4 linked regions of the Arabidopsis thaliana genome follow. The protein of the gene in region 2 purifies or fractionates together with the protein of the main gene of each other region. This does not show direct contact. Each region holds a gene or a part of one and is shown on either strand. Other genes may lie near its edges.

Region 1 (8,465 bases), on a different chromosome or scaffold from region 2:
GCCGATGTTTCCACAAAGAAGAGTCCTTCCTCTTCGGCTAGAGCCTTTCCTTCCTCCACGCTCACTGCTCTTATGTTTTCTAGATCACACTTGTTCCCCACCAGCATTCTCGCCACCGTCGTATCCGAATGGACTGAAACAACCAAGAAAAGAGCAAATGAATCAATTTTAGATCTCAGACCAATCTAAAGATGTTCATTATGAGATACTTTCCTAAGCGGTTCTTGAATAATCCTCTGTTATGTTCTAGCTAGGTCACAAATTCTATAATCTACCAAAACTAGATTCAAAATTTCCCAATTCTAAGTCAATCCGTACGACCTAATTAGATCATGAGGATCCCCTAAATCGATAGTCAATCGCATAATTCACATCGAGACTTACTCTTAAGCTCATCGAGCCAACGTCCAACGCTTTCGAAAGTGGTGCGGCGGGTAATGTCGTAAACGACGAGGGCACCGACAGCGCCACGGTAATAAGCGGAAGTGACGGCACGGAAACGCTCCTGACCAGCAGTGTCCCAAATCTGAGCCTTGACCTCTTTACCTTCAATCTCCATGCTCTGCGTCTGAAACTCGACTCCGATCGTCGCCTTGGAGTTAGCGCTGAACTCGTTACGTGCGTAACGAGATAGAAGATTAGATTTACCGACGGCAGAGTCGCCGATAACAACAATCTTGAAGAGATACTCCTCTCTTCCTTCGTCGTCCGAAGACATCGCTCGCTTCACCGTCTTCTTCTTCTTCCCTAGGTTTCTAGAGAGAGAAGTAGGACTGGTTTGGAGAGAGAGAGAGAGGGAAAGAGGAGGAGACGGAAGACGGTGCAACAAGCTGGCACAAGAGGACATACTGCGCATTAAGTGCACCTTCTTTAATGTCGTTACCTTTTTCTTTTTCTATATTTTCCTCCAAATTATCAGTTTTAATTTACGACTTTTCCCTGATTTGTGTTTTTGGTTAGTTATTTTAAAATCCACCACGTTGGTGGACTTCTTGGTAACGTAGGAGGGAGTTATATTTTTTTAACTTACAAAACCAAAGTGTATGTATAACTAAAGAAATTTCATCTCTAATAAAGAATAAATCTTTCTCTGTAACGTGCATACACGCTAGTTTTGTTAATAATAGGAAAGTTAATGCTACTAATAGTATTCCGGTTCATACATTTTATGCCAATTTTCATATCAACCTATATCTATTTGCATGTTTCTAACTACTACTAAATATATCATAATTCATTATATGATCAACGAGATTCACTTTGGTCTTTGGTACGTGAATTCTGCTTATTAATGTTTTCATTGGTTCAAGTAACTTTGGTATTTGGTCCATTTCTTCAATTTTAAAAATAAGAAAAATTAGCGTACCTTTAATTTCAATATTCAATTCAGGAACTATTTATGAAGAAGTATAAAGAAAAGAGAGATCAAATTAGAAAGTCATATATATAATGGATGCTAGCTTGCTTTGCTTATGATCATAACTCGAATTAGTTTCAGAATTCATAGCATAATCCTTACAAAATAGGCGACACTCAAAACATAAACTTGAAACAAAAACATAATGGACAATTGTCACTGTTCTATCTTATAATGATAACGAATGAGGAGCTTAATTATAAGAGGATTAGACATTTAATATAATCTATTTTATTTACATCTTCTCTAATTCTCTCATATGATAAAATCGGAACAATGCAAATAAAATTAGGATGACCCTACCTTTGGGTTTGAGCTAGCTTGGTTTCTCACTGCACCCACACGTGCAATTCTCTTGATCTTTTTTCAAATTCTGCGTTTGTATATGAAAATGTGTTTATGTATCAATATGGATCATGAACTAGAGAGAACTCTGGAAATGGATTCAGCTGACCTAAACAGAAAAAGTAAGATAAGGGAACCTGAAGTTGATGCTGAAGGCCTTTGATGTGTTGTACAGCTAAATCCAGCATGTCTGAATAGCTTGTTTGCTAAGAAAATCAGCAACAAGTGTGTGAGGTAATGAACACTTTTTCAAAATGATGTTACCATATATACTATATATATTTGATATAAAGTAACCTTATCCATGTTGGGGACAAGATCTTGTAGCTTCTTTAGCTTCCCACTTATTCTCGTTCTCCTCTCCTATAATATAAACATATTGTATAGGTTAAGATAGGAGGATGGCAAAAAGAATAGGGTCTACATGATTAGGGACGATCAAATTTGTTGCTAAATTTAGTGAATTAATTATCCATCGCTAAATAAATTAAAAAGTGTTTATAACTGACCCGCTCAGCGATGCTTCTAGGATGGGTGGCGCAGCCGCGTTTGGCCCGGATTTTGCAGGGTACAGAATCTTCTGGAAGCTGCATGAAGTTATCCATGTAGTTCATTGAAGTGTCTGAAGGAAGACTATACTGCAAAACCAGTGATAAAAATATTCGGTAAGAATTGGCCACCAACAAAAATGTATGGCCACTAAAGAGTTTTGCTGCATTTACCTTTACTAGTTAATTTTTTTTTTTATGTCTATCCTAAAACAAATATTTTACATTTTTTTGTCCTTTTCTAGAAATTTTGAAATTTCATATAATTTGACTAAAGTAGCATGTTTATAGTAATAACACATGAAGAAAAAAAAAAAGGAATCCCACATGGAAACAAATAAATTGTACCTGCGAAAAGAGACCAGAGTCCATGTCCTTGGATCGTTTACTGGGCCTAGTCACGGTAAACCCTATCGAACCGGAACCGTCATCCCAAGAATCAGTAGTGGCTGCACCAAAGCTAGCCGCAGAAAACGAATGGCCTGAACCGTCGTGGACTGGGGTCTCATTGACCTCGTTGATCCGAGCCAGAGAGTCGTGATTCGTGAAGCTTAGCTGAGACTTCAATCTGGAATGTCCTCGTCCCCCATTAGACCCTCCTTGCGGACTATAATCACTGGTTGGTTGGTTCAACGAGAAATCTGATTTACAAAGTAAACTATATTATAATGACATTACGTGAAAATTATTTTTAAAAATAATTCACATTCACATCCAAAATATTAGAAACCATATAATGTAAGTAAATAAAGAGGGATTTTTGGATAATATGGATAGTTGAATTCCGGTTCAGGCCGGTGACCGGTTAGGTGTGGGAAGTCACATCCAGGCTTGGTGGAAGATATTATGATTAGATAACAACGAAGCAAAGCACGAATCATCAGGACCAAGGAAAAAATAATATAAAAGTGGACAGATCAGATCCACCAACTAGATCTACATCGCTTTCTATTTGAATAATCTTCATCACAACCAATGATATTTCGCCATCTCAGCAGAGAAACTATTGGTCATCAACGAAAAAATCCATCCTCTAAATAAATAAATGCAACTTGAGATATAGGAATCCTCGAAGATTTAAATAATATCCCAAATTAAGGGTAACCGAGCCACATTTTTGCTGTATTTTCAAGCACGTGGTTAGGGATCAAATGGTATTTTCGTCATTCCGAAAATACGAGGATCACGTCTTGCACAAGTACCAACCAAGCTAATTTAGCAACGACCCTAAATATCAAAGCTCACAATGTCAACTTATTTTATATACATAGTCGTTAATTAACTTGTAAGAAACTAGATACTTCACAGTGAGAAATACCGAAAATACCCTCGTGGTTAGATTTTCATTTCACCAAAAAACGGATCTTTAGTTGAGCAATGAATGATTGAATGACTGAAAACTATATAGCTCATATTCTACATTACGATTTTTGGCAAATTCTAAGGAAAAATGGTCTGAAAATGAGTAAACTTGTCTGTCTAAATATATATATCTCATCACAGTTACTATTCTTGAGTAAAAAAAGGACTAACTGTTTTTATCTGAGGCGAGGTAGGTGAAGAAATCGGCGGGAGAGCTACGTTGTCTAGCGAGAGAGTAAGATCCTGAGCTGTTTCCTCCTCCGATGTCGTTGCTCTTGTGTTGTTGCGAGATCTCGTTGAATCCACCGTAGGATCTGTCGAGGAAGATATCTTTATTACTATTATTATTATTGTTATTGCCTAGCTGTTTCTGTCCGTCGGATGAGTTGTTGACTCCACAAGTCGTCGAATCGGATCTCAGCGAGGATGAGTCAGCAGCTCCGGTGAAAAAGTTACCGATGAAGTTATCCGACGACGGTTGATAGCCGGTGAAGTCACGAGCGTTTGATGAGCCTCCTCCGATGACTTCGTCAACCACAGAGTTTAGAAACGATCCCGGAGCTGAGCCGTAACGGATCAGTCCTCCGCCGCCGGGAAGCGATGATCTCTGCGATGATGATGACGTGGAGGATGATGATTGGTACATGACTTCTTCTATCGCCAAATGGAGAGAGAGAAATCTGAAAAGTTTGGTTTCTAAAAGAAAAATAAAAGATGAGAGAGAGATGATGCTTTTGTTTATGGGGTAACAAAAAGTCTTCACTTTTCAGCGATTGGCTATTCGTTGGATGTCACATGTGTCTCACGTGATCTTCCGAAAGATATGGTATTAAATTTAAACCGAAATAAGCCAATCAAAAACCTTTATTAATACTTATTTATTTTGTAACGAGTCAGCTTAACCTTTGGGCTTTGGGGCCGCGAATATGTGGGCTGGGCTTGATAAAAAGATAAGCAACATTTGCGATGTCTTTGATTAAGTTTAAATTTCCCAAGATGTTGAGGTTTTCAGTGGAATGCAATTATTTTTCTCTAGTGTATATAACTCACATTGTTAATTTAAAGATTTCAAGATCACAGAAATGTTAAAGGTAAAAATTAAAATGATTCGATAAAATTCGACTTAATTGCTTAATAGTAAATTGAACAAACATAAATGCTTATATCAAATGCATGGTTCATCAATACTTTTTTGACGCAAACCTTTTTCCGATTGTAATTCAAAATAGTTCTGTTAATTTTTACCTAAACAATTAATATTGTTGTTATTATTATAAATAGAGCCCACAAATATGGACGTTTCCTCTTTCACCAGTTATTTTCAAATTTTCACAATAGTATATGAACTTCCACAAATGGAAAGAAGTAAAATTAAACGAGAACTCATCTTGTCTGAATTATATATCCATAAATTGGTGTGTAAAATGGAGTCGTAATTAAGATGCGTACGGATAATTAGCTACGACTGTGACATGCAAAATAAAATAAACGTTTTTCTGAAGAGTGAAACACATCTGATGCGCATGCAGGAATGATACACACATTGGTCTCCAAACGTACGTGTTTTTCTAGCCCCACCCTTATTGACCCCATGTGATTCGTAAGAAATCGAAGCTGAAATTCAAATTAGTTACTGTTCTAATTGTTATATATGTCTTTATTTTTATTGTCGAATGATGTGATCTGTAACCAAACTTCCAAATTCAAGTTGAATTATTTTCTTTCTTTCTTTTTCAACAAAACCTCTCGTGAACAGAGAATCCACATCGTGAACAAAACCTTTTTTCGGTTTTATGTTATATATAGAATAAGCTAGTGCATATATTTATAGATGAAAGCTTCCAAATGAGAAATTAAAAAGTTAAAAAAAGACCCTCGCATAACACGAGAAGGGACACATTTACAAATAAAAATGGGAAATATAGATAAAGATTGCATGTATTAATTAATATCTCAGTGAGTTTATTAACATTAAACCAAAAAAAAAAAAATATCTCAGTGAAAAAATAAATATAATTTAATATCTCCGTGAGTAATATAAAGACTCCGAAAGAAAAAGAGAGTATATGGAACTATTGCTGACGTTGTCTTTGACAAATAACATAGACAAATTGTATATATATTCGATGATTAAATTTGAGCATATAAATAACTTTATATATGAACTTTGATCATTTAGAACAAAAAATCAAAATATAAATTATACACTGTAACGATGTTGAAGATTTGACAAATGATTCTTATTGTTTTTTTTTTTTTTTTTTGCTAAATATGATTTCTTATTGTTCATTTTTAATCTTACAGGTTATAATGACGTTGAAGTTTTGACAAATGGCTTTGTCTTTGGCCATTATTTATATTTATAATCTAATACGTTGGTACCTCACGTCACTTCTACTATAATAATATACAATAACCAATTAACCATAACAAATTAATAATAGATGTCTGTTTTTATAACTAATAAAACAAAAAAAAATACATCTATCGATTAGGACTAATGGACTATAATATAAAAAGATACACAACAATGCTAATATGTACACGCCTGATATTGGATGATGTCCCTTTTTTTCATTCACAATTTTGAGTTCTTGTACTTCATCAACAGTTGAGAGCTTTAACCTAAAGAAAAGTATTATATTGTGAACTCATAGTAACTAAGAGAAGAAAATAATTATTTTTGTTCACATTGTGATAGATGAGACGCAATAATTTATCTTGGATGTGGAAAATATACTTTTTTGTATTAGGTTTTGCATATACATCTATATATGTACATTTCTTATGCTACGTAAAAGATAGGGCAATAATTATTTTGTCCTATCTTAAAAAAGAATCCAAAATTTTAGCTTGGATCAATCTAGACCTAAAATATATTATAATACAACATATGGTTGGATATAGAACAAAGTAGATATGCCGCATTGGTCGCTGCGTTTGTAAAATGCAACGCTTGACGTCGTCCCTTACTGAACATCAGTTCACTTGTTCTGTTCAAAAACTCGCCGCCAAAATTGTCTTCATTAACCGCCAATTTCGAGCATCTCGGACGGTTTACTAGAGTGATGTAAGTCTCGAGGTCATGGACACAAGAAATGTTTTGAACATCGAAGAAATCGAGGGTGAGTTCGACTCCCACGTGAGTGTAGCAAGAACAGCTCCAAGGAAGCTCGTAAACACCACCTAAAGATCTGAAATTCTCATTAAATAAGAAACCTGGAAGTTTGGTGATCGGATCGTTTACATTCGTGATCCTCAAGACTTTAACTCCTAGCTCCTCACACCGTTTTTTGAACCCCAAGTTACCAACTCTAGGACCAGCAAACGAAAACACGGTCACCGGAACAGGTTTTTCGTCCCTTCTCTGGTTCATACCGAGTTCCGCTATGTCGTAAGCTAGAAGCTGAGCTAGAGAACTCCCCATACTATGTCCCGCAAGTGTTATGCTTATTTCCTCGCCTTTGTGCTTGTTCATAAGCCTCGAGATCTCGGAGAGAAGCTGCTCACGGCAGCTTTCTAGCCCGAATTTGCTCTCGCTCTCACCGGATGTGTATAAACCTAAGAACCCGGATTCGACCTTGACATCAGGACGAGGGTTATGAGGATCAAGCCTAGCCGGAGTCAAAGAGCTCTTTAGGTTAGCTAACCACTCATGGTTGGTGACAGTGCCACGAAACGTCACCAAAATATCCCTCCTTCCCAAACGTTTCACCGATTCATCAGAAGAAACCGCTACATAACCGATCCAACGTGCACGGTTAGGCTCGTTCTTGATAGGGTTGAGGTTGATGTCTGGTGTGGCGTAGATATACTTGGTGACTTGGTAGCCATCAGGGTCATGGATTCCGGATTCTTTAAGCAAGTTCTTTTTTCCATACTTGCAACTCAAGTAACGTTTGGAGTTAGGGTTTAGATCAAACCCTTTGTAAGAAGCGGAGAGTAAGTTCCCGTAGCGAGTGATCTCTTGTTGGAGAATAGGGCTTAGAGGTTCAATGAGATTTTCCCAGTTATTGCTCCCTTGTATCTCTCTCCAAACCCGAGACAACGGTAGAGTCACTGCAGGTGCTCGAGAAGGAGGAATGGCCTGAGAAGAAGAAGAAGAAGGAAGAGAGAGTGGAGAAGATGAAATCGGAGGGGACATTGTAGAAGAAGAGACAACGAGTCTTTTAGAGGTGTGCTGGGATATAGAGAAATGGTCAAGATTGTGTTTCTGTTGAGGAGTTTTGTCTCTAACTAGAGATTGAGAATAGATAGGGTTCTGAGTGAAGACTTTGGCCGCCATTAATGGACGGCAGTATAGAGAGAGGGAAACACAGAGATAGAGAGCAGTTGGTTGAAGTATAAAGAGAGACAACGAGTGAGATGCGTATTTATAGAGTGAAAATGTGAATGGAGATCATGGAGATAGAAAAAGCTACAATATGTTTGGCGAGTATTGACTGAGAAATTAAACTATTCAAAAGTTATCGTTGGTACAAGTTTTAATAATAATATTCATATGTTGGGAGACAAGTATTAATATTTTATGTGGTCGGTTCTAATTATTAAACATTTTCTATTAATCTTATAATTTCTGTTCACGCCTCATGCTTCTCTTCTATACTATCCTATAAAGACAAAAAGAAAGAACTTAACAATAATTTGAGCTATGTATTATTCGATTACGATTTAGGCTAGTTGTGGTCATCGATATGCAACAATAAAATTTATATAGTGGATATGAAATTTTGAAAATAAATCTGCACCTTTAAAATCATTATTATTTTTATTTTTTTACAAAAAATTGATCA
Region 2 (7,348 bases):
GCAAACCACCATCTTCCTCCCAAAAAATAGCTCATGGAACATCAGATATTTACCTTGTCAAGTGCAAGAATTTTTGTCCATATGAAAACCAGGATCTGTCTTAGCTCATTCGTTGTTGTTTGCAGAAGCTTCAGCACATATGGGAATATTCCAACAGACAAGGCCTAGAAGAATGTTCACTTCACGTGTAAAGACATATACATGATAAAAAGGAGAAACTCTGTGTAAGCCAAAGGGAGAGAGAAATTAAAATTTAAAGAAGTATACCAGATCCACAGCCCATGAACCCATATCAAGAAATCTTCCAAGAAGTACAAGAGCACGAAACCGATGGCACTGGCTAAGTAACACCTGAAACAAACCAGATTCTATAAATACGCTAAAATGGCAATATGCAAACAAAATTATGATAGAACGTCCTGAAGGAAGCCAAAGAATGTTCCTAAGCCATATCCACACAAAACCCAGAGTGAGAAAATGGCAAATGAATATGAATCTCTCTCTCCCTCTCTCTCTCAGCAAAAGGGAAAATAAGTACAGAAATCTAGGCACCTGAAGAACAATAGGTAACTGCTCCGGTGGCTTCTTATGCTCAGATCCATGATCAAGCCACACCTCAAAAGCTGTCAGTTGCTCAGTAAAAAACGGACTTGGCTAGAAAAAGGATAGGAACACGTTTTATAAGCAAAACAAGCGCCGTCGTATACAATTGCAGGAAACTATACAAAACAAAACAAACCTGGAACTCTGTGCTTGGGTCCAGAACAAGTTGGGGAAGCTGAGAAAGACAGATTTCAGCAGCCATGTCCCATGCATCCCTGAAAAGCATGCAACGGATAGCTGAGTCAAAATCTAGACACATAACATTTTACATAACAGAAGAATATGGTTCTTGTTGAATACCACATATGATGTTGATGCGTAGGAGGCAGCATAGGGTGAGATATTGGATTACAGTTTGCGGACCGCATTATTCTCTCAGCAAGTAAGAAATTCCGGAAAAGGCTAGCGACCAACAAGTCCTGTCTGAATAATCTCTGGAAAAGTTCTGCAGGGTAAAACTATCATTCATGAGGACACAGAAAAGAAGTCAACTTGAAGAAGATTTACCCTTGATAAATTATGCAGAAAGTTTGGAGAAGTACCATGAGGAAGCACATTCCAAGCAATTGTATCCGTCACTGCTGTGAAAATCCAGTTCAACTCCCCTAACAATGTCTTACGATCGTTTTGCCGGCCTGGAATCCTGTCGATAAGTGATTCATCGATAATTTCTTTCAGAAGCGAACGCCTGCAGAACCTGCAATGGAAATCCTCTTGTGAAAAAGCTGCAAGCTAAACTGAACTACATAAAATGGTGATCTGTTTACTGGAAAAAGGTTAAAAAGAAGCCCAGAATTGAAACCGCACAGACTCAGTAGCAATTAGTTATAGAATAAATATCACAGAAGGAGAAGGCTATCAATCAGGATGATATCGTGAATCTTTTGGTATCATCAAAAATACTTAGCCAGGACAGAAAGAATTATTGCAAACCATACATCAGCAAACTTCCATATGCAAAGTGACTTGGCAGCTAAAGGTATTATCAGTCCTGGTTATCTCACAACTCTTATGATATGCTGTTTTACCACCCCACAAAACTAAAACATACGCACAAGGTCTTCTAAACAAAACTCTATGATCCATCTTTGGTCCCATCCAAAATGCTGCCGAAAAGTTTTGATCTTACCTCATGATGAAGCGAGAACATACTAGCTAAGATTTTATAAACTTAGCTAGACGGAACTTAAACTACATTTTGTAGGAAGAAAACATGACATCTGAGTACGCAAAAAAAGTCAGAGATGGAATGATGATTTACCATTTCAACGCCATTTTAATGGGCGTTGTCAGGCAAGACGTAAAAACATCAGCTGGAAACTCAACGCTCTGAGGAAGTGTCTCATGTACATCACAAGCAGCAAGTAGAATGCAGTCCCTTGAGGATCCAGAGGAACCAGAAGAACCCCAATCATGAAGCTGGCGTAAAGAGTATATGAATTTTATCAACTTATGGAACGAAAATTACAGACTCGAGTCCTAAACTCGACAGGAGATGTGTTCTATAAGTGAAGTGGTTGTTTCCTTTACCTCAGCAAAGGCATTCAGAATCATCCTAGCAGCAGAGCAGTCGAAAACATAGATGGAGGGTGTCTTCAACCAGGAATCAAGTTCACTGATTGGCAAGGGAATGTACTGTGTATAACTCTGCTCAAACAGAGAATCAATCAGCTCGTGGTAACAGACGAGAAGGAACAAGAACATGGTAGAGAAAAGAAAACGCTAGTAAAAAACAGACCTTGTTAAATACCCAAATTTCACCATTAGCTGTAGGTTTTGGCACACCATGCCCATTATAATGGAATAGAACTCTCTCGGTCTTTGCATATTTCCGACAAGTCAAGCACAGCTTCCTCACCTCATCTACTGTCGGATCAAGCTGAACCTTATAGCGGGCCTGAGAAATCATAAAATAAATAAGAAAAGCGTAACTTAACAAAACAATAATGATAGGGTGCAGGGAAAAAAATTGTCACCCTGGGTTGCCATCTCTCATACTGAGTGCTCAAATTTTTTCCAATTGTCTCGAGAGCTTTAGGCGGTGCCATAGAAAATGGATCTGCCATCAGAAAGAAAAAAAATAGAGATAAAATTGACTGTGGCGACAAAAAAAAGGGATAAACACAGAAAAGAAAGAGTGTAATAGGATTGAGTAGGCCAAAGTTTCAACCTATCCATGCCTCGATTCTAGCACAAGGAGATATCTTTATAACATCCGGCGGATCAACAGTAATGTTTAAACACAGAACTAAAGCTACACATCCTGTTTTCATCTGCAAAGAAGAAGAAGAAAAGTTAACAAAGAATATGAGACTTGCAAGAACTCCCCTAGCTATCAGATCCAATGAACACCTGATTTAGCTTCCGACGAGAAATAGAATTATTTCTGAAGAGACATTGAGATTGAAACGAAACGGAAACATGTATCTTTAAGGTTCAGCTCCACAATAAAAACGTTAACACAAGTACACAACCCTCCTCGGTTAACATTACCTAACATAGTAGCGAACAATAGCAGATTTTATAATGAATTCTAGAAAATGTAGTTGTTCTACCCGCCTCTTACATCGTCAGTTGCACTAAACAAGCTAGTCTAACATACTTGCAGCTACCAACAATGTTCGATTGAAAACTTACTCGTTCTTTAAGCCGCCATTTGGGGACCAATACGATCTCAGAAGTCCCCAAGGGAGCAGAAGCCTCGGATGCGTCGTGTCTAAGCTCGCAGAGCACAATAGTCTGAGGCAAGTAAGCCATGCTGGTGGCGGTGGCGGCTCCCTCCGTTGTACCATTCCCGTAGCTACTACTGCTCTTAGCCTCAGAATCCTTCCTCCGGGAATCACCGTCATCGTGACTAGAGACACAGTCTTCGTCGTAACGGTGATTGGAGACCAAAGAAACAGAAGATTGCGAGAACCGAGACACCATTAAGTCTCCTAATGCCATCCAAATCGGAGAACACACCCCCGAATTAACACACCCCCAGAAATCACGCAAATCAAATCCTCAGCCCTAGCTTTTTTGTTTGGATTGTGCGAGATACAGAAAATAAAATAGAAAGGAAGACGGAGAAATCCAGATCAATCAACAAAGCCGCTGCACCAGCGGCGCAGGAGCAGAGAATCCAGCTCGAAAAACCCTCGACAGAGAAGCGGAAGCGGAAACCCTAAGAATCAGGAGAAGCGGAGGATGAAGAACGATGATGATTGGCTACGACGGCGATTGATGTGGAAGCGGCGGCGAATTAACAGTGGTGGTGGTGGTGGCGGCAGAAGAGAAAAAAAAAAGGCAGAGGAGAAAGTGAGGATGCGAAAATTGGGATTTTGTCAAAGAGAGAGACAAAGGGAAAGTCTTCAATGCATTTGCGTTTTCTTTCCACTTCTCTTTCATTCTTTTTCTCCTTTCCGTTTTTAGTTTTACCCTCTTCAGATCAAAAATCCACTCTAATTAATTACTAACTTTAATGCAATGTTATTAAATACTAATATTATAAGATTGAGAGGTATACTAAATATCTATAATTTTAAAATTAATTTATGTTTAAAATGTGGAAATTGAAATTTTGTATGCATCATTGAGAAACAAATTCAAAGAACACCATCAATGGATCGACTAATTAACTGAGAAGTTAATCGCAAATTCAATCTGATTCTTTGATTAAAATGCAACTTAAAACTCACTTTTATTCTAATCACGGTCTAAATCTAAATTTAAAAAATCAGTCTAGTTTAATTACGAAAACAAAAATTCAAGCTACTAAACTAGTAACAGAGAAATGATATTAAATTTAAAAACGATATTAGATTTTTTAAAACTATATTAATTTTTTTTTAAACGAGACAATTGTATTTTCGTAACCATAAATTACTTAGCTGACACTTTGTTACGTGAGTTACCATAAATTCTTCGAATCACCTCTAGGATTCCGTACAACGGGGTACATGAAGGGATCATCATTGCACACGCTTCATAAGTATATTTATGTTTTAATCAGTTTTGTGTTATAACGTTTAAATTAGTGTAATCTAAACACCAACGGTTTTTCTACTCTTACATAGCAATGTCTGGTCTTCTAAACCGAATTCATCTAGGGTTTATTGTAGTTGGTAAAAAAATGAAAACCGAAAAACTAAAAATTTGGTGTAGGGAAAAAATATTGGGTTCAAATTCCATGTTAATCAAAACTTCAGGTTCCGTTTTGCAATTATTCCATTATATTATCAATTTTGGACACAAACATCAAGCTGACACTTTGTTTGTCTGAATAACATTATCAAAGGCCATATATATCTAAAAGTCAGCAGAAAAATATCACAACTCCCTCTCTCTCACTTGGGAATCTCGCATCGAGAAAACAAGAAGATTCGATGATAAGAAAGACACTATGCATACTTGAAGAACTTATATTCGTGCTGACGAGTCTCGTTTCCGCGATCAGGACAGCTCTCCGGACATCGTTTTCCTACTCCGCCGCGGCGCCGCCATTTCTACCACTTCCTCGTCTTTGATGACCAACTGTTTTGCCCCACAGGTGTATCATTCAAGTTTTACTCTAAACTCGAAACTTCGGATCAATATATGTATTTGTGGAATATCATTAGCAGCGAGTTTTTTATTTATTTGTAGATTCTATCAAGTGTATACAGTACTGTACATTTAGTTACATATACTTGCATCTGTGATATATTTCGGTAAACACCAATTGTAATTCTACTTTATGATGTATTGTGTTATTTATATACACATACAAGGGTGAGTGATCATTAGAGAACGGATAAAGATAGTAAATCACATCTTGGACATGGCGTGATCCATCACATCCACGAGGAAATCTACAAAATACAAGATTTGAAACAACATAAATCATGAATAAAAAAATGAAACAAAAAGAAACCAATTTGAAGATATATATGTTAAACTAAGGAGCTAACCAGCGTCGGAGAGGGTGAAGCAGAGAGGAGGAGTGATTCTGAAGACATTCCCATAGAATCCACCTTTCCCCACCAACACTCCCATTTCTTGATACCAAAAGATTTGTATTAAACACTATCTTAAATGCATAAGTATCAACTTTATATGATGAGAGTGATCAATTTCACTTGGTTTAGGATTGAACACAACTAACCTTTCATTTGATCCATTAAATGAAGGGTCTCTGCTTTTGCAGGAGTTTTTAAGTCGCGGTCTTTGACAAACTCAACTCCTAGCATCAATCCTCTCCCTCTCACGTCTCCAATGACTAAACAAATTAGAGAAAGGATAAGATATTCAATAAAGAAAAATTTTAAAATTGATTTTAATTTGGACAAGAAGTAACTCACGTTCGTATTTGTTTTTGAGTAGCGTAAGTCTACGTTTAAGATGTGAGCCAACGAGGTTAGCATTCTCTTGGAGCTTCTCTTCGTGAAGGACTCTAAGTACTGCGTGTCCTGCGGCCGTGCACATTGGATTTCCGCCGAAAGTATTAAAGTAACTCCGACGGCTTAAAACGCCGGCAATCTCCGGTGTCGTCACAACCGCTCCAAGTGGTATACCGTTACCGATCCCCTGCAAAATCCAAATTAGAATTGATGATGATAAATTGATAACGATGCATGAATCATGATAATGATGAACCTTGGCCATGGTGACGATGTCAGGGATAACACCATGGGATTGAAACCCCCAGAAATGGGTTCCGGTACGAGCAAAACCGGATTGGACTTCATCGGCGATGCAAACTCCTCCGGCTTTCCTCACGATGTCGTAAGCCGCCGGTAAGTATCCGGGAGCAAGCTCTACGATTCCTCCAACACCCTGTTACAGGATATAGACTACATTACATGCATATTCATTATCATAATCATAAATACCTTTTTGATATAAGAAATAAGTACAAATTAATCTCGCCTGGATTGATTCGCCAATGAAACCGGCGACTTGACCGGACGTTCCGAATTGGATAAGATCGTGTACATCACTCGCGTACTTTTCACCGTCGGATCCAAATATTCCTCTGTAAGGATCTGGATTTATGGCGTGATGAACTCCACTCTGTTACAGAGATGATGCCTTGTCAAATTTAAATTTGGGTTGGTTACTTCTTCTCTTCTTCATATAAACTCATTTAGTCCAAGCTAATCGATTCAAACGTCATATTGAACTTTGATTCCATTCTAATTTTTGTTTGGTCAACACAGCTTAACTGTCTTACTCATCTACTATGATCTTAAGAAAAAATCAATTATGCTATATCAGATGGTGTAGATTGAAATGGAAAAGAACCTGAACGACGTTGAATTTCCAGTTGGACTGAGCAGTGGCACCCATAGTAGCAGCTGCGTTTCCATGATAAGAGTTCCTAAGCGAAACGATGTCGTTACATCCTGTATACAGTCTAGCCATCATCATCGCAAGTTCATTCGCCTCCGTACCCGAATTCGTGAAAAACACCACCTACGTACATGATAACACATGTACATTTGACTTGCCGGTCAAGTCATCGAATAACCTTAATACAAAAAAAACTATATTGCACAACTCAAAAAGAAGATATATCATTATTTACCTTGAGATCTCCCGGAAGAGTGGAGACAAGGGCTTCAGCGAAATCGGAGATGGTGTGGTTAAGGTAAAGGATGGTGGAGTGGTTAATAAGTTTCAACTGTTTGACGACGGAGTTAACTACTTCCGGGTGGCAATGGCCGCACGAAACCGTCGCTATTCCTCCAAAGGCATCTAAATATCGACGTCCATTCTCGTCGAA
Region 3 (7,361 bases), on a different chromosome or scaffold from region 2:
AAGATAAGAGCAAGATCGGTGATTATTATCGAGAGATGTTGAGATCTAATCCTAATAATTCGCTTCTTCTGATGAATTACGGCAAGTTTTTGTATGAGGTTAGTGATTTTTAGAAGCTGAATTTGAGTTTTGGGAATTGGAGATTAGGTTTTGATTTGGGATTGAATCTTCAGGTGGAGAAAGATGCAGAGGGAGCTGAAGAGTACTATGGAAGAGCAATACTGGAGAATCCAGGAGATGGAGAAGCTTTATCCATGTATGGAAGATTGATATGGGAAACGAAGAGAGATGAGAAGAGAGCTCAAGGTTACTTTGATCAAGCTGTTAATGCTTCTCCTAATGATTGGTATAATTTGTATACTTTGATTACTTTTACTAATCCCAAATTAATTTTCTTTACTTTGAATCTAAAATGTTTGTGTTGTTGTAACTTTGTAGTATGGTTTTGGGATCATATGCACGTTTCATGTGGGAGGCAGAGGATGATGATGATGATGATGAAGAAGAAGAAGAAGAAGAATGGATGGCTGCATCACCACTCATGGTTTCTGCAGTTTAGAGACTAACACGACGAAGATGAAGAAGAAGTAATGGAGACTAAGATTATGTATCAAGTATCAACCTTTTTTTTGTCTATTTCACTGTCTTTTTACTAACTTTTGTTGTAATAACCTGAAGAGTAATGAAAACATGTATGTGAAAGAAAACGAATGTAACCTTATTATAAGAGAATAAAAGTGCTTTTGTATAGTTTAGAATTTCGTTGTTTAGAATCAGAATTAAAGTGGATAATTCGTTGAATATAGGAGAAAAAGAACAAGTCTTTATGATCATCACAATCAAAAGAAACTACTAAGAAACAAACTAAACAAGATTGAATTTGAAACCTACTTAACATGTCTCTCTCTCTCTATTTATCTAAAACCAAAGCTAAATTTAAGAGAAATAGTAAAGGAGAAGAAGATGAGAGAGTAAGAGAGCTCAATCTACTTTATAGAGATAAATCTGATGGAGAGATGTGTCAAAAGGAACAGAGAAGCAAACCCGGTCAAATCTTGACCCATGAACCATCTGTTTATTGAGGACTGTTGCCAGGCCAGAGATTCTGGTACATCTGCATAGGAATTTGGTGAAGCGGTTGAGGTGTAGAGTTTCCAAATATCCCATGATTGTTGCTGTTGTTGTTGTTGCTTCTACGGTGCAACGGAGAATTACTTTCGTTTTCCTCTGATGACTCGCTCGAGTGTTGTTGTCCTTGAGATCGAGGGCTTCCCGGTCCACCAACACCACCAAAGCTCAACATATTGGCTGGTGCTGAAGCTGGCTCCGGAGTATTCTGAGCACGCCCCGCACTTTGTTTCTGCTTCCTTCCATCTGGTACAAAGCTTCCCACAATGACCTATATAAAAACCCCAATCAAAGTCAGTATCTTGAATACTTTCTGATCTTAACTCAAGTGTAAAGGTTAAGAATTTGACAAACCTGGACTTGTGATCCAGCTACTAGCATTCCATCAACACATCCACCCACAATCCGGCCTTCGTGTCCAGCCAGCGACACACTCAAGTTACCAGTTTTGGTCACAGTACCATTACTCTCAGAATTCAAGAAAGAACCTGACAGAGAAATGATTTCAAATCGGCCCTGAAACAACAACACATCCAATACAGCTCAATACAAGATTTAAATTCCAGCTCCATTCGATAACAACAGAGCTCAAAATGAGGCCAAGAAGCAAGCAATGCACAAAGCACATGAGTAATTTTATACCTCATACTTAACAGTTCCAGTAGGATTGCTATTGTTAGCTTGACGAAGCATCACATTAGTTACAGCTCCTGTAGCTGAGAGAATACAGATTGCGCGTGGCCCTTGGTTCGTAAACGCCAATATCTTCGTAGCTATGTCCTGAATACAATGAAAGATCATAACTTTAACCAAAGAAACAAATTGAAGATTAAAGATTTGCTACATCAACACATTACCTCTCCTGTTTTAACCTCAATGACATGAGGCGTGAACCCAACTCCTCCTGTTCCTCCTGCTCACACACACACACAGAGGACAAAACCCATTAAGTAAAATTGTAAAACAGTGAATTTGATTTGATAAGAGAAAGAGAGAGAGAGATAGAGATAGATCCTGTACCTAAAGCATCGAGCTGCTTCTTACCGGAGCCAGGAGGACGTCCTCTGTTCCGTTTAGCAGGTGGATCGGAAGAGTTAGCATTAGCTCCGGCGCTATCACCACCACCACCTCCTTCATTTCCACCACCGTAAGAATTAGAAGCAGAAGGAAGAGGCGAAGTAGGAGCCAAACCAAGAGCAATGTTACTACCACCACCACCACCACCACCACCATCAGCAGCATACTTCCTAGGTCTACCTCGTTTCTTCTTAACCTGTTGATGGTCGATCCCAAATCTCATCGAATGTTGTTGAGTGGCGGCAACAGAAGAAGGCGATCCATCAAATCCAAGAGATTCAAGAGTCTTCTGATCTATCTGTTGCTGAGGCTGAGGATGATGATACTGATGTTGTTGAGGCTGATGCGGTGACATAGAACCACCAAAAGGTAATCTTTGATGCATAGCTTGAGATGTGGAGGTGTTGTGACCCATTAAAACAGCGGCGGCGGCGTTAGGGTTTCGATTGTAGGAATTGTGGTGACTCATTAACATCCCTGGCGGTGGTTGTTGCTGTTGTTGTAGATGTTGCTGTTGTTGCTGCTGCTGCTGTTGTTGTTGTTGTTGTTGCTGTTGTTGGTGGTGGATCTCTCTGGAATCCATTGGAGGTGGAGAAAAGTATGAATCTTTGTGAATTTAGGGTAATTTTCTTGGAGACCCACTTTTCTGTTTTACGAATGCCGAGAAAATAGACGAGAAAGTGCAGGTTTTTGAGTTTTAAGCGAAAGCGTGTGAGCTAGCTAACAACTCTCTCTCTCTCTCTCTCTCTCTCTCTCTCTCTCTCTCTCTCTCTCTCTCTCTCTCTCTCTCTCTCTCTCTCTCTTTCTTGAGTTCTTTCATCAGACGAGGGACGATCTAGTTAGTGTCTAATTTTTTTATTTTTTTTTTGTGTTTTTGAAGATTTTTAATTATATAAATAAAAGAAGAAATTGAGGAAACAAATCTTTGGTTTATGGTTTTCAGTTTTCAGGAGATTAAGTTTTGTTTTTGTTTTCTTTAATATTGATGAATTTAACTTTTAAAATATAATATAATTAGGGTTTTGTTAAAATGTGAATGAAATAAAGAGTTTGTGTCTTTAATAATGATGATGTTCAGTCCAGTTATAGTTTCTAGTTGTAATCTAATGTAAATGGTTTGGTGTTCTCTCCTTTAACACTAGTTCTGTTTTAATAAATGGTTTTCAATTTTTTTGGGGTTTTTCACATAATTTCCATTGTTGCATTGAATGAACCAAGTTTGGTTATTGGAAGAGAAATCAAACCGGAATGAGACATTGAAGTTTAATAAAATATTAGGAGGTTATTTTAGTTCAGTGTCTTTTTAGAAAATCTCTAAAATGCAAACAAATGCACAAGAATTAATAAGAGAATAATATATCAAATAAATTATTATGTAAACTAAAGATTTTGGTTTGACTGTGTTTGGGAAATGCAAAAATAATAAAGATGGGGTTTGTACTTTGATGTGTCAGATTTTTTTTCTTAAGTATATCCTTCAGATCTTAAAAACAATCACTAGTTTGAAAATGACAGCAGCTTATTTTGACTATTTTGTCCTTCTATTGCCTATCTTTTTAAGAAAAATCTATCATTCAGAATTCAGAATACTGTTGTATATACTCTCTATAGATTCCAAATTAATTGACAAACTCAAGTTACTAATTTTTAATGCTACTATATCACATAGATAAAGACCCACTGGAGTTGGAATAGAATGTAGCAACCAAATATTTAATATATGCAACTTTAGAATCCAAAACAAAAATCTGTGTAAAGGAACAAAAGTGTATATTTTAATTGGTTATGTACTCTTCTCCCATACTTGTTCACGAGAAAATGGAATTTACCGATTAGATTTTTTTTTGTATCCCGGTTTAATCCAAAGGATAAAATATGTGATGTGTATCCGGTTTTGTTGGAGATGATAATCAATGTAAAAGACTAAAAGTACTAAACTTTTTATGTCTAGGTAGCGACTAAAGTGATTGACTTTAGTAGACCAACAAGCAATAAAAAGCAAATGTTATCAACAGTTTACGCCATGCGCGTACCTTAAGAAACTGGACACGTAAAACCAGATGCTGTGAAAAATTAGTACCTGAACATAGAAATATTTCGAGACAGATAACGAATGTTTTTCTTTTAAAGTACTTTAGAGTTTATCATATGATTCAAGTCACCTGAAAGATCCATAATCTCTATTATCACTTGGTGCTGCAAGGCTGCAACACATAAGAGTGTTGCATTGAAAAATGAAAACACTTACGGAAACTAATGAACTTGGAAGCAATTGACCAAAAGTATAATTATTGGTCAGGTGGGCTTTTATTAATGGGCTTAACTCTCACTAATGTAGCCCACTAGTGAAATGTAATTGTGGTAAATAAGAATTTACCGCTCGTTAATGGAGAAGAAGAAGGGTTAGATTTGGAAAGTAGAGAAATGAGCAAAAGCAAGAAGAAGAAGATTCTCTCTTTGATCCACTTTCCTCCATTGTCGTCGCAGAGAGAGTGGAGATATTCGGATTCAGTTTATGAAGTAGAACTTGGGTCTAAAGGATTCAGTTTCATAAACCCTAATAAGTATCTGTTGTCTGATTAACTTATAGGAAAGATCATTTTTTTTTTTGTTTCTCTTAGTGACGGATTGGTCTAGAAACTAGTATGCAAATTGTAGCTTCTGGGAGAGAAAGTTTGTATTTTTAGTAACGGATTTATTTTGGGAGAGTTTGATTTGTAAGGATTAGGATGGGTTTTTTCAAGAAATTAGCTGGTGTGTTTGGATTTGGCCAGGAAGTATTGAAAAATGAGGAAGATGATATTGATGTTTACGGTGACGGAGGTAATCAGCAGAGATTTCGTGAAACTGGATTACCAAGGAAAGGATTTGGAGTTCCGGTTCAAGTTGCTGTCGAAAGGTCTCAACTTGGTCCTCTTCTTCAGCCTTGCGCCAATGGAGATGGTGGTATTCAGGTTTGGGATTCCTGTGCTGGAACGGTTGCTATAGTGGTTGATTGCTTTATACGGAAGTGTGGATTCTAGTTAGTTAGATTAGCTTAGGAACATCATACATTGGGTTTGAGATTGATTAGTAAGTTCCATTAAAGATTCCTCATTCTTTAGTTCTACTTTAGCTGTTAGTAATCATGGTTCATGTGCTACATAGTCCTCAGCTTGACTCTCTTAGCATAGTGTACAAAATTGATTTCGATACTCTCTGTTCTTGCTTTAGCATTATTGAGGTTTTGAGTTAGATGTTCTCATGAGTAGTAACAGTTAGATGCAATAAAGAAAATGAGTAGAAGTAAGTTCACCAATATGGCTTACCTTAACTTTCTATGTAGTAGAAGCGTAACTATAATCATTGCCTCTAAACTGGTTTCACATTGTCTTTTCTTTGACATTAGACAACGACTCTGTATCACTTCTGTTTATATTTTTACTCCTGTGGTTCCTCCAGTTAGCTGTTACTTTATTTCTAATGTTAGACTAGTGAATTTTTCTTAGTTAAGAGCTTGCATATCTTCTTGGATATTGGTTCTGTCACAAGCTGTATTATAGCTCTCTCTTGTGTTGAACCAGGGACTGAGATGGTACACAAAACGGCTAAGGGTTGATGAAGATGGAGATGTTGCAGATGAGTTTTTGGAAGAAGGAGAGAAATCGACTAACGCAGAAGATGATCATAACTGTATTAAGACTATGCCAAGATTCCAAATTAAACGCAAAACGAAGCCTGTAAAAGTAAGAGGACTAGTTGTGTCTTCTGATGGGAAACTCCAGCAATGCATTGAACATCAAGGAAGGTTATTTATAGTATGAATTGTTTTTGAACACAGAGAAGATTAGGACAGGTTTTTGTTTTATCAGAAACTCCGGATTGAATGTGTAAAGAGGGAAGCAAAAAGCAAATAGAGTTGCAGTCTTGCAGACATATTAGCGAGAAATGGCAATGATCAGTTTAGCTTTGTTTGTGTCTGTGAACTCTATATTTTGGCTTATCGAATCTGTACAAACTGATTTGATTCATCAAATTTGTTTTTGGGTTATTAGTGTTTGATGTTTGGTGTAGATTATAGTTTTTTTGAAAAAACTTGAATAATAATTTGGTGTAGATTTTGCAAAAAAGAAACTCCATAGGATTTGGTTTTTGTTCAATAATTGGTAAAGATTTGTAAAATCTAGATATCAACGGCAATAAAGGGTTTATGTACTTGAACAGTTGGTAAGTAGACACTAGAGCAAAGAACAGGGAGAAAATATTGGCGTGCTTTGCCCAACGATGGCCTCTATATCGAGCGAGATCACAAAGGAGCCAGCCCAAACCAAACAAAGAGAGCAAGGTGAGCAGGTCGAATGTATCCTCCATATCCATCTTTTGCGGATGAGCGACCAATGGAACGGTGATGTGATTTTGTCGAAAGGTAGGCTTTGGAGAATGGGAGAACAAGCCTAGTACAAACGCGCCAAAAATTTCATGGACCGTGCAAAAAGAATCTCGTTCCAAGTAGCATTTGTTTCCATTGGAACCATTTGAATGCCGTTGTGATGTACTTTTGAGATGATCCGTTTCTTCTTCCTTTTTAAAAAAAATGCATTGAGCATTTGAGCATCAAAGACGATTACTTATAGTATAAATGATTTGGAACACAAGAGAGGCTATGAAAGGTTTTTGTTTCATCAGCATTTCAAAATATTGGTATCAAACCATATAAGAATACATGTTGTTGTGATACATTATCGAAGTACTAGACTATGCAATGAGACTTGGTTTTTCGTCCTTGAGCCAAAAATAATAATGACTAGCTTTATAATTTGACAATCACAATTAGTTTTGAGATACTCTACTGGACTTTGTAATTTGTATTACTACGATGATCTTTGTGTGTGTATACATAATAATAATATGATCAACCTTTTTGGTTTAAACATGAATCCAAGTTTCTTTTTTGATATCTGTATTGGTAATATTTTCCTGCCACGTGTGGAGGTCTCACAAGAGCCACATGGACAAGACACGAGAAATCTGAAATCTCAAAAACTCAACAACACGAGAACAGCTGTTCTGTTGCTTAGGAAGATCTATTACCTCTAACCACAACACTACAAAGAGAGTACTAGTTAATTAGTTTAATTTACTGGATTTTTCTAATAATTTCTATTGATATTCGAATG
Region 4 (9,312 bases), on a different chromosome or scaffold from region 2:
AAACACGGTCCATGATTTCATACTCAACTTCACATTTGACCCACTTTTAATTTATTTCCAACTACAAAGAAATTCCATTTTATACTATTATTTACAAATACAACACATATTGAGAGAGAGAGAGAGAGTGAGTCACAAGAATTACGACACTAAACCTAAACCCAATTCTCGAGAAAAAGAAAGAGAAAGAGAGAATAAATAAATGGAAGATGTACGGAGGATTGTGGTGGTCGTAGAAGATAAACAAGCGGCGAGGACGGCGTTACAATGGGCACTTCACAACCTCCTCCGTCAAGGTGACGTCATAGTACTCCTCCACGTGTACTCTCCTCCACCGCGTAAGAAGAAATCCACGGCGGCGCGTCTCCTCCGCCGTCACGGATACAATCTTGCTCTCTCTTTCCGTGAAATCTGCGACTCTTTCTTCAACGTGAGTGGAAATGAATCTTGATCGGAAAGATTACTAGATTTTATTGATGGTTAGGTTTGTTTTTCCTTTGTGATCGTAATTTTGACAGACGAATACTGAGATCATTGTGAGAGAAGGAGATGATGATGGAAGAATGATTGCTCAAGTTGTCAAAGAGATTGGTGCTTCGATGCTTCTCGTTGGTCTCCATCAGAACAGCTTTCTTTACAGGTAGGAACTATTTTGATCGATACGGGGTCATTATTAAAGATTTTGAACCCTACATAGACGAATGAGTAATGTTTGTGACTTTGTGTGTCTTTGTGATGTGTAGATGGGCAATAAGTGGGATCGATGTAGCGAGAAATTTCAATTGCAAAGTGATGGCTATAAAGCAGCCTTCACCGGAACTTTCGCCTCCGGTGAAGGTTAAGGGACACAAGACCTCTAAGGCGACGGCGACAGCGACTTCAGATTGTTTAACTAATTTTGACTTTTCACAAATTGAAATTTCTGGATTACAGTAAGATTCCTAACCTCTTTTGTTATCAAGTCTATTTTTAATTAAAACTACGTGATTTGGTGAAATAGTTTTTTTTTTTTAGTTTGATATTTTGGATAGAAACATTTCATAGTGCTGATTAAAAAAAATGAAACTTTGATTGAAACAGGGTTCCTGAGATTCCGACACCAACTAAAGTGCCATACAGATTATGTCCGAGTCCTCATGCCATACTATGGAGAACAAGGCCCCGGAGGAGATCCAAAGACCAATACGGTGTCGGTTCATAGTCTACGATATTTGCTTTTGAGACAAACCCACCAAAACTTTACCTTCAAATAAACAAATTTTACTCGATACTAAAAAGAAAGTCATTCCAATCACATTATTCTTAAACAATGAACAGTTTTTCAAACCCTCGTCCAAAAATTTGGTTCGAGCGATCAAGGTATAAATGAAAACAATTTTTCCATGAGTGTCAAAATGCAAAATTCATCATTAGAAAATATATAAAGAATGATTGTTTATGTTAAATACTTGCTTTTCTCTCCTCCGTAAACTGTATCTGTTGTATTTTGTATGCTAATATTCTAAACACATTACCTTTTTATAGCAACAAGTTTTCTCTCCTGTATTCACGTACAATCACTGGTATACTCGTCGGAGGAATCTATTCACACATACACAAATCACAAATGTATCAGACACTAAATGGAAATTGCTCTGCATACCAAACTCATAACATAACAAAATGTGTGAGAGATACGTACCATTCCATAATCCGAAACAATCATAGATATATATTCTGAAGGAGTAGAATCATACCTGGAACACACAAAAATAAGAACAAACTTAAGAGAAATAAGAATAAAGCTTTGTGATGATTCTCAAAACCACTTATGAAGCGCTTTACATTAGATTCAGAAACTGAAGGTTTTTGTTGTTGTCCATTGTCTTTGAATGCTTTGCATTGGTTCTAAATGATGGTATGTTGGCTACGGCGTCAGGATCGCCTGTAAATTTTTCACACAGGCAAAAAAACTCTGATTCAAGTAAATGAATAATCGACAAGAAGAAGAGCGAGTGAAACATTTACCAAGTTCGTTGGAGCAGATTGAATCAAGTAGGACTCTTTCATGGAACTTGTAAGCTTCACAACAAACAATTACAGGAACACTAAATGCGTTTGCAACCATTGCAATGCAGGATGTGCCAACTCTTGCGTAAAGAGTTCCATTCGAGTATATTGATGAAGCACCGAGAAAAACACGTGTAGCCTCACGCATGATGTAGGAAATGGCATTTATATGAGTGTAGGTACAGTCGAGGCCACGAGTCACAAGTCTACGGAGTAGCTTTTGCCCTTCAAGGTTAGGGCGTGAGTCTACAATCACTACGCGGAACTTTTTCCCAATCTCATGGGCGTATAGGAGAATCATTTCAACCACACAAGAGAATCCATATGTAAGAAGAACTTCTCCGTCTCTGATTTTTGTTACGGCGTGTTGCACGATTGCCTTATCTGCAATAATTGTCTTCTCGTCTATGAACCGGCCAATGTCAGAACAGAGGGAACTTTTTGCCTCTGATTCTGACAGGTTTACAGGTAGTTTTCTGATTTGGTTCTTCAGGAACCTGATTGCGTTTCCCATGCTCATGGAGAGGGGACGACATTCTATCAAGAATGAAACATAACCGTTTATCTTGGCTGTCAAGTCCATGGTCAGGTCTTTCATAGGAGGTGTACTGTAATCTTCTATAGCTTCTTGAAATGCTTGGAGCATGGCAATACATCGTGCATTGTCCCCAGATATATCTCCAGCCAAATGTTGCAAACCCACCTAAGATTAACAAAAACATGTATATACGTCACTTGAGGATCTATGGCACAGAGATAAACCACAGGGTTTCAAACCCTTAAGGATTCCAGTTCAAAAGTGTAACGAACATTTCACAGTCACATATAAACAAGTAGGTGTACCTTATAGACTGCATGGTGTATGGAATCGAGTGTGAAAAAATTGGAGCTTAAATTGGGAAGCTGATTGCTGCGTTCGTATTGAGGAAGATGGAGAAATAATTCAACTTTGTTCTTGCTCTCGGTCTGTTCAACCACAGCTCGCCTCTTAGCTTTATCCACTCGGCTTTTATCATCATACTGCATTTGTGTCTGAGGGACATCCATCCTCTTCTCTTTTTCTACTGCTACAGCTGTTTTTTCAGAAACAGAGGACGTGACGGGAAGTCTTTCTTTCTTTGGTTGGGGCTTTATGGCAGCCTTGCCAGGATTAGCTCTACCAGACTCATCTGCACGCCTGCTTCCTTCGCCTAAAAATTAGCAAGAGGGAAGCACTTAGATGATTTTACGTTCCACTTTAATGAATATGGAAAACAAAGCAAAAATAATGAACAAAACAAGAACCTTTTGCAGCAGCTTTTGCTGCCCGTTGTGCCTCTTGGATGGCACGTCTTTCTGCTTTAGTGGTTTTATCTTTCAATGCTTTTGGTTCCTTTTCCTTCTGGGGTTTTGTGGTCGCAGACTCACTCTTTCCTGCAGGATTTATTCTTCCTGTAAGTAACGAAATGCAAAACTAGAAGGAAACATCTGTGCATGGCAATAATTGAATGACTCAAACCCATAGCAATTCATAAGGTCAAAGTTGATACTAAACACAAAGTAGCTATTTAAATTCTAATTCTAAAGGATAGTCCACTTTGAAAGGGAGCTTAATAACCCCTCCAGAGAAGCCCAAAGCCTCTGATCAAGGAGGGTACTTCAGGAGTCTAACAACCAATCTCCGGCAATGCAGTGAAGGCAATTTCGTTGTTAGAGAAGACCAAGGCAGGCAATCCAGTTTAAAACAGAGATAGATGACCAATTCCCAGCCTCGACGATGATGGCAACAACAGTTTAGGAGGATTTTGTAGGCAGTCCAGTACGGAAGCAAAACTTGATGATGCATTTCGTTCAATGTTGAAGACTTGCCTAAAAACTAACTTTGAGAAAAAGGTATAGCTTGTGACGAAGCAAAGAACAGAGTTATGCTTTGAAGATAACGATGTCCTGTTGTCGGTCTGTCTGCGAATTGTCCTTTTGTAGAAATGAGTTAACATGAAGAATACGAAGGTTGATGTACTATGAAACTAAGAAACATAATGCTCAGAGAGATTGAAGTGTCAATGATGACACGTTGTTGGGTGGGAAGCTCTAGTCAATTTCATCCTTCACATTTAAACACCTCTGAAACAGTAACTGGCTAACTGCTCCTACCCATTATAGAGATGCAGCTTCCTTGACGTGCTTGATTTGGGAGTATGTTGTACCACCTCCGCAAACGTATGCATTTCACACAGACCACAGGTCCACAACAGCTGACTGCTTTATCTTCAAAACACGCCTCTTTGTTTCAAAGTCAAGAGTCGAACTATCAACATTGGCAGAAATTGCTCACCAGACTTCTAAACCAAACTCAACTTTAAACATTCTCCAAATACCGCTATAAGGTCTCCCTAAAACTCTCCATGAGATCAAGTAACAGAGTATTCCAAAGAAGATATTAATATCCGGGCCTACCCAGTCCCTACGGCACTACAGGCTGCCTCATCCGATGTTACTTGGGGATCACAATTCACCACAAAGGTCTCTTTTGGATAATACAAAACTCAACCATACAAAGAGCTTATTCAAGAGACACTTAAATAGATTGATAGATTCGTATACATACCAGAAACTTCGGCGATCTTCTTTTTCCCTTGAGAAGCAGACGTGGTCGCAATTTTGGTTTCAGATTCCTGAGGAGCTCTAACAGCTAGAGTCAAATCAAAGCCTCCATTAGGTAAGCTTGCTGATAATTTCGTCGAATCACTCCGTTGGAACCCAAACAGAGAAGCCGAATCCTCAGAAAGCCCTCCGTTACTCGAGGGTGATGATGTCCCGAGAAGCGAATCCGGAGGATTGTAACTACCAACGTGAAGAAGAGTCCGTTCAGGAGTTAAGTATCGGCGGAAAGCGGCAGGTCCAGGGACGGGCACAGGAGCAGCAGCAGCAGCAGCAACGCGAGAGGTTAAATTGTCGGAATGGTGACGCGACGGTGGAATTAAGACCGGAGAAATTAAGTTACCGGAAGGTGAATCGGAGAGAGGAGAAGAAGAGGTGGTTGCATCTACTGGACCGGATTGGCTTCGATTTGGTCGTTGTAATGATGATTCTGGAGGCGGCTCGATTGATGTGAAGAAACCTACTCGACGGACTTTAGGAACCGCAAGAGCTCCGCGACGAGTATCCATTGAGCGGGACGACGACGACGATGATGATGATGATCTTTTAGGGTTTTATTAGGAGAGATTCAAAGGATTGACCAAAACGGTGGGGAGATTTGCTAAATGGCCTAAACCTTGTTTTCAAGTAATCATTATTATGAGATAAAATAAGATTTTTATAACGTGACAAAAAGTATTTAACCCAAAGAAATGCAAATCGATCATTTAAGTTTTATGTAAACTTTATTATAAAAAAAATAAGAATATTAATGTCTGAACAAATTTTCTTTAGTACTATTAAAAGCGATTTTGAAAAAAAAAAAAAAAAGGTTTCATAAAACGCAAGAAAAACACAACATACTCAAACACACACACATCTAAATGCCAATTCAAATACACAAAATACACTTGTCACAACAATATTTTCAAAAACAAAATAGGGAACAGAAGGTCGTAAAAGTACAAAACACAAGACAAACTAAGCACGCTCAAACGTAATTCATACATAAAAAAAAAAATAACACACACACAAACACACATCTAAACGCAAATTCAAAGACACAATTCACACTACAATACATCAGCACAATCACAAAAAGGATCACTTCACAATCATTTACATATCATGCCAAGAATTTACTTTCGAACTCGTTGTTTTCTATTAATTTTGAAGCACCTATATTTATCTACTCATTTTGCAATAATCAGCTGTTTTGAATTCTAATTCCAGTATATGTAACATACTAACATCGACTGTTTCAACTTTTTGTTATTCATTATGTTCAACTACTGGCAAAGACAAATTCAAGCAGACAACATATTATGCAAGGTACATGTGGTTTATAAAACGTTATTTTAATCTGAGACGTGGATTTTTGTTAACTTTACAACCATTTTTTTTAGAAAAAGGCAATTACTTGAGTTAAAACAGGATGAAACAGAGTCTCTCTATCAATTATAAATTCCTGCAAAACTCAGTCTTGGATGAATTACTCGGTCAAATGATAAGTGATAAATTTATTCACACAAAACTATAGTCTATGTAGAAAACTTCAATTTGCTTGTAAGACACGAAATATATGATGACTTCAACGACCTAACAAAAGTCAAGATTACATTCGTTGATCATAAGCGCCAAAACAAACGGTAGAAGACGGATTAATGTATCGTACATGAGGTTTGATATATTGTGCAATGGACAACTATTCTTTTATCCGGCAGTCGGAACTCGAGATCGCTTCAAAAGTCAACCTTCTCTCCAAACGAATCCGCTCTCAAGAACAAGGTAAGGATTTAACCGTTGGTTCAGCAGAATATTTTTTTTAATGGTAACTTGGAATTTGTAGTGTAAAGAGAGATTTTCTTTATAATTTCTCTTATCACACTATTTTCTTCATGGAAAAATAGAACTCTAAAAGGACCAGTTATAATATTGTGGGATTCAACTATCTGCTTTTTGTATTGGGATTTAGATTATCCATCGTTTGATTTGAGTTTCTTATGACGAATCATGGCATAGTAGCTAGTAGTAGCACTAATCAAGCTGGTATAAAGGATTAAGTAAATTGATTCATATTCAATGGTGGTTATTATAGACTCAAAATAAAACCAGTAACAAAATGATTTGATGATTATATATGTGCATTGTCTATGATGGTCATTCGCCAAGTAATTCGAAAGACGCTGATATTAATATTAGGATCTTTAACAGAAGTTGCTGTAGATTTTTCTCATATGACATTGGAGGATGAGCTCAGTGAGGAAGAGGATCATAAAGATTCAAGTAGAGAGGCTTTTGGTTCGAGTCTTGAGAATCATAAACTGTCGAGGAAGCAAAGAACGCATATTCGGGCGATAAACGTGAAGAGAAAAAGAGACTTTGTTTGCTTGGAGAAAGTTAATGGAGAGCTTGTTAACATACTAGAGGGACTCGAATTGCATACCGAAGTTTTTAATGCAGCGGAACAGAGAAGGATAGTTGATAAAGTGTGTGAATTGCAAGAAAAGGTTCAAAAAGGAGAACTAAGTAAGTAGCAGCTAAGATTCCTTGTTCTTTCTTCTATATAGTTTTGATCTGAAATCCTAATTTGTATATCTCTCTATGTAGAGCGTGCTTTTACTGCTCAAGGCAAAGGACGTTCAACTATTCAATTCGGCTGTTGTTTCAACTACCGTACAGTAAGTAAAACTAGTTCTTGATCAATCTTCTTCTCGATTTATGAGTTCTAGTGAGTGCCACAACAACTGAATGAGTAAACTTGTAGAGCAAAACTGGAAACCTGGCGGGGATTCTTAAACATGAAACTGTTGATCCATTGCCTCATCTTTTCAAGGTGATCATAAGAAGGTTGGTTAAATGGCATGTTCTGCCTCCAACTTGTGTTCCTGATTGTTGTGTAGTCAATATTTATGATGAAGGTGATTGCATACCTCCTCATATCGACCATCACGACTTCCTCCGCCCGTTCTGTACTGTTTCTTTCCTTAGTGAATGCAATATTCTCTTCGGATCAAACCTTAAAGTTGAGGAAACCGGTGAATATTCGGGTGGTTCATATTCATTACCGCTTCCTGTTGGGTAAGTTCTTGTGCTATAAAAAAAGTTCTTATATATTTATATGCGCTTGCAAATGTTTTATGTCACATTCTCGTTATAACTTGAAAACAGTATATGTGACCAAAAAAAAAAAAAAAAAAACTTAACTTCTTTACAGATCAGTGCTTGTGTTAAACGGGAATGGAGCTGATGTAGCTAAGCATTGTGTACCTGAAGTTCCCACGAAAAGGTATAATCTTGATTCGTTTCTTTTGCATATAAACATTGTTTTCTTATTCATGAGTCTTCTTTTTATTCACAGAATATCAATCACATTTAGAAAAATGGATGAGTCAAAATGGCCAGTCTGGTACACACCAGAACCTTATTTGCAAGGGATTCAGCCATTGACATACGAGCTGAAATCTTGTGGCTCCTCTGACCATGTATTTTAGTTCCTGAACTTTAATTGATATATATTACAGTTTGATTAGTGGTTATATGTAGTGCAAATAATTAATTCTTTTGATGTTCATATGGTTGCTCAACTGGTGTGACAAAAAATTATCGTTCTAGCAATTAGATAACCAGAATAATTTTCAGTATTTGACAAATTAGTGGCAAAATTCATTTCTGTATGCTTTGTGAGTAGTAATGTTTTCCTTTCTCATAGACACAAACTTTTATGGTTTGTTTTGTTTTGAATATGGTTTGATATAAAGTTTGTCCCTGCGTCACACGTAAACTTCAACTGAAGGTTAAATTCGGTGTAGATCTAAATTATATAAAGTTTGATAGCTACATAGATTCTGTTTTTCTTTGGTTTCATGTGATGCAATCAAACAAGATAAAAGATATACTAAAACTTTGATGGATATCATATATGAATGGCTATGGCTATGGATATGGCAAATTGGCAATCAATGACCCCAAATTATTTTGATGAATAGACACAAATAGCTTGAAAGATGGATTCAGGATAATTAAATAGAGAAAGAAAAGAGAGAAACAAACACAAAATATCAACAGAGAAATGATAATTAAGCCACACAAGGTTTAACCGGTTAAAAGGACATTATAGTGCTATATGAGCTACAATTCGGTCGTCTAAATTTTATAACCATGAACTACACACTCTTATCTTATTGAATACATATATCTACTTACTAATTTTAACTTTTGCCAACCAAAATCCAATTTGGAACAGGAAAAAAGAATGCCATGAAATAAATTGAATATTATTAGTTAGATACAAGCAGTTAGATTGTTTTTTAAAAGAACAATTTAGTGAAAAACAAGACCGAAACTCCACGTGTTTGCATGCATGCGCCTTCACTTCCTTGACCTGTCTCCATTTGTTTCACTCTTTCTCCTCTCACACCTCACACACATCTCTCTCTCTCCTCGCCGAAAATGGCTGATCGAACAAACCCTAGCAGCCACACCCAACAGAGACCCATCTATAACTCAACCACCGTCCCTCGCAGCAACACCACCACCAACCACCCCCTCTCATCTCTTCTCCGTCAGCTACTACAATCGCAGTCTCCTAATCACTCCGGTCAACTCTTCGGCTTCCTCGCATTCTTCATCTCCGGTGGAATA

Evidence for each region.
Region 1: the proteins of RAPTOR1 (region 2) and AT1G05805 purify together in Arabidopsis thaliana (affinity purification with mass spectrometry, with the first as the bait; one large-scale study listed by BioGRID). This does not show direct contact.
Region 3: the proteins of RAPTOR1 (region 2) and AT4G17950 purify together in Arabidopsis thaliana (affinity purification with mass spectrometry, with the first as the bait; one large-scale study listed by BioGRID). This does not show direct contact.
Region 4: the proteins of RAPTOR1 (region 2) and AT1G48970 purify together in Arabidopsis thaliana (affinity purification with mass spectrometry, with the first as the bait; one large-scale study listed by BioGRID). This does not show direct contact.

What each region holds. Positions count from the first base shown.
Region 1 is NC_003070.9:1,740,696-1,749,160, reverse strand, and holds AT1G05805 (basic helix-loop-helix (bHLH) DNA-binding superfamily protein), read right to left. Parts: upstream 4,718-8,465; 5' UTR 4,319-4,717; coding exon 3,844-4,318; intron 2,952-3,843; coding exon 2,659-2,951; intron 2,401-2,658; coding exon 2,272-2,400; intron 2,126-2,271; coding exon 2,060-2,125; intron 1,969-2,059; coding exon 1,900-1,968; intron 1,791-1,899; coding exon 1,734-1,790; 3' UTR 1,427-1,733; downstream 1-1,426. Other genes in the region: RABA5E (Rab GTPase-like A5A protein), read right to left, coding at 1-133, 385-856; DGL (alpha/beta-Hydrolases superfamily protein), read right to left, coding at 6,542-7,957.
Region 2 is NC_003074.8:2,691,363-2,698,710, forward strand, and holds the start of RAPTOR1 (Regulatory-associated protein of TOR 1), read right to left. Parts: upstream 4,039-7,348; 5' UTR 3,550-4,038; coding exon 3,241-3,549; intron 2,877-3,240; coding exon 2,774-2,876; intron 2,663-2,773; coding exon 2,580-2,662; intron 2,501-2,579; coding exon 2,342-2,500; intron 2,251-2,341; coding exon 2,134-2,250; intron 2,023-2,133; coding exon 1,865-2,022; intron 1,301-1,864; coding exon 1,146-1,300; intron 1,049-1,145; coding exon 904-1,048; intron 819-903; coding exon 740-818; intron 655-739; coding exon 553-654; intron 352-552; coding exon 268-351; intron 165-267; coding exon 54-164; intron 1-53. Other genes in the region: PYD4 (PYRIMIDINE 4), read right to left, coding at 5,392-5,435, 5,535-5,621, 5,729-5,842, 5,925-6,150, 6,220-6,399, 6,493-6,636, 6,868-7,038, 7,151-7,348. UniProt on the Arabidopsis thaliana protein: Probable component of the plant TOR kinase pathway that recruits substrates for TOR. Modulates plant cell growth and regulates the activity of ATPK1 kinase in response to osmotic stress.
Region 3 is NC_003075.7:9,966,220-9,973,580, forward strand, and holds AT4G17950 (AT hook motif DNA-binding family protein), read right to left. Parts: upstream 3,014-7,361; 5' UTR 2,789-3,013; coding exon 2,149-2,788; intron 2,042-2,148; coding exon 1,986-2,041; intron 1,909-1,985; coding exon 1,771-1,908; intron 1,645-1,770; coding exon 1,483-1,644; intron 1,400-1,482; coding exon 1,076-1,399; 3' UTR 560-1,075; downstream 1-559. Other genes in the region: AT4G17940 (Tetratricopeptide repeat (TPR)-like superfamily protein), read left to right, coding at 1-98, 174-346, 439-559; AT4G17960 (phospholipid hydroperoxide glutathione peroxidase), read left to right, coding at 4,935-5,159, 5,769-6,008. UniProt on the Arabidopsis thaliana protein: Transcription factor that specifically binds AT-rich DNA sequences related to the nuclear matrix attachment regions (MARs).
Region 4 is NC_003070.9:18,112,350-18,121,661, forward strand, and holds AT1G48970 (NagB/RpiA/CoA transferase-like superfamily protein), read right to left. Parts: upstream 5,485-9,312; 5' UTR 5,199-5,484; coding exon 4,637-5,198; exon of another isoform or gene 3,463-4,636; coding exon 3,334-3,462; intron 3,240-3,333; coding exon 2,893-3,239; intron 2,753-2,892; coding exon 2,008-2,752; coding exon of another isoform or gene 1,925-2,007; coding exon 1,825-1,924; intron 1,737-1,824; coding exon 1,682-1,736; intron 1,582-1,681; coding exon 1,519-1,581; 3' UTR 1,365-1,518; downstream 1-1,364. Other genes in the region: AT1G48960 (Adenine nucleotide alpha hydrolases-like superfamily protein), read left to right, coding at 203-430, 519-640, 744-932, 1,081-1,201; AT1G48980 (2-oxoglutarate (2OG) and Fe(II)-dependent oxygenase superfamily protein), read left to right, coding at 6,366-6,456, 6,883-7,197, 7,279-7,349, 7,436-7,749, 7,886-7,957, 8,030-8,162; AT1G48990 (Oleosin family protein), read left to right, coding at 9,121-9,312.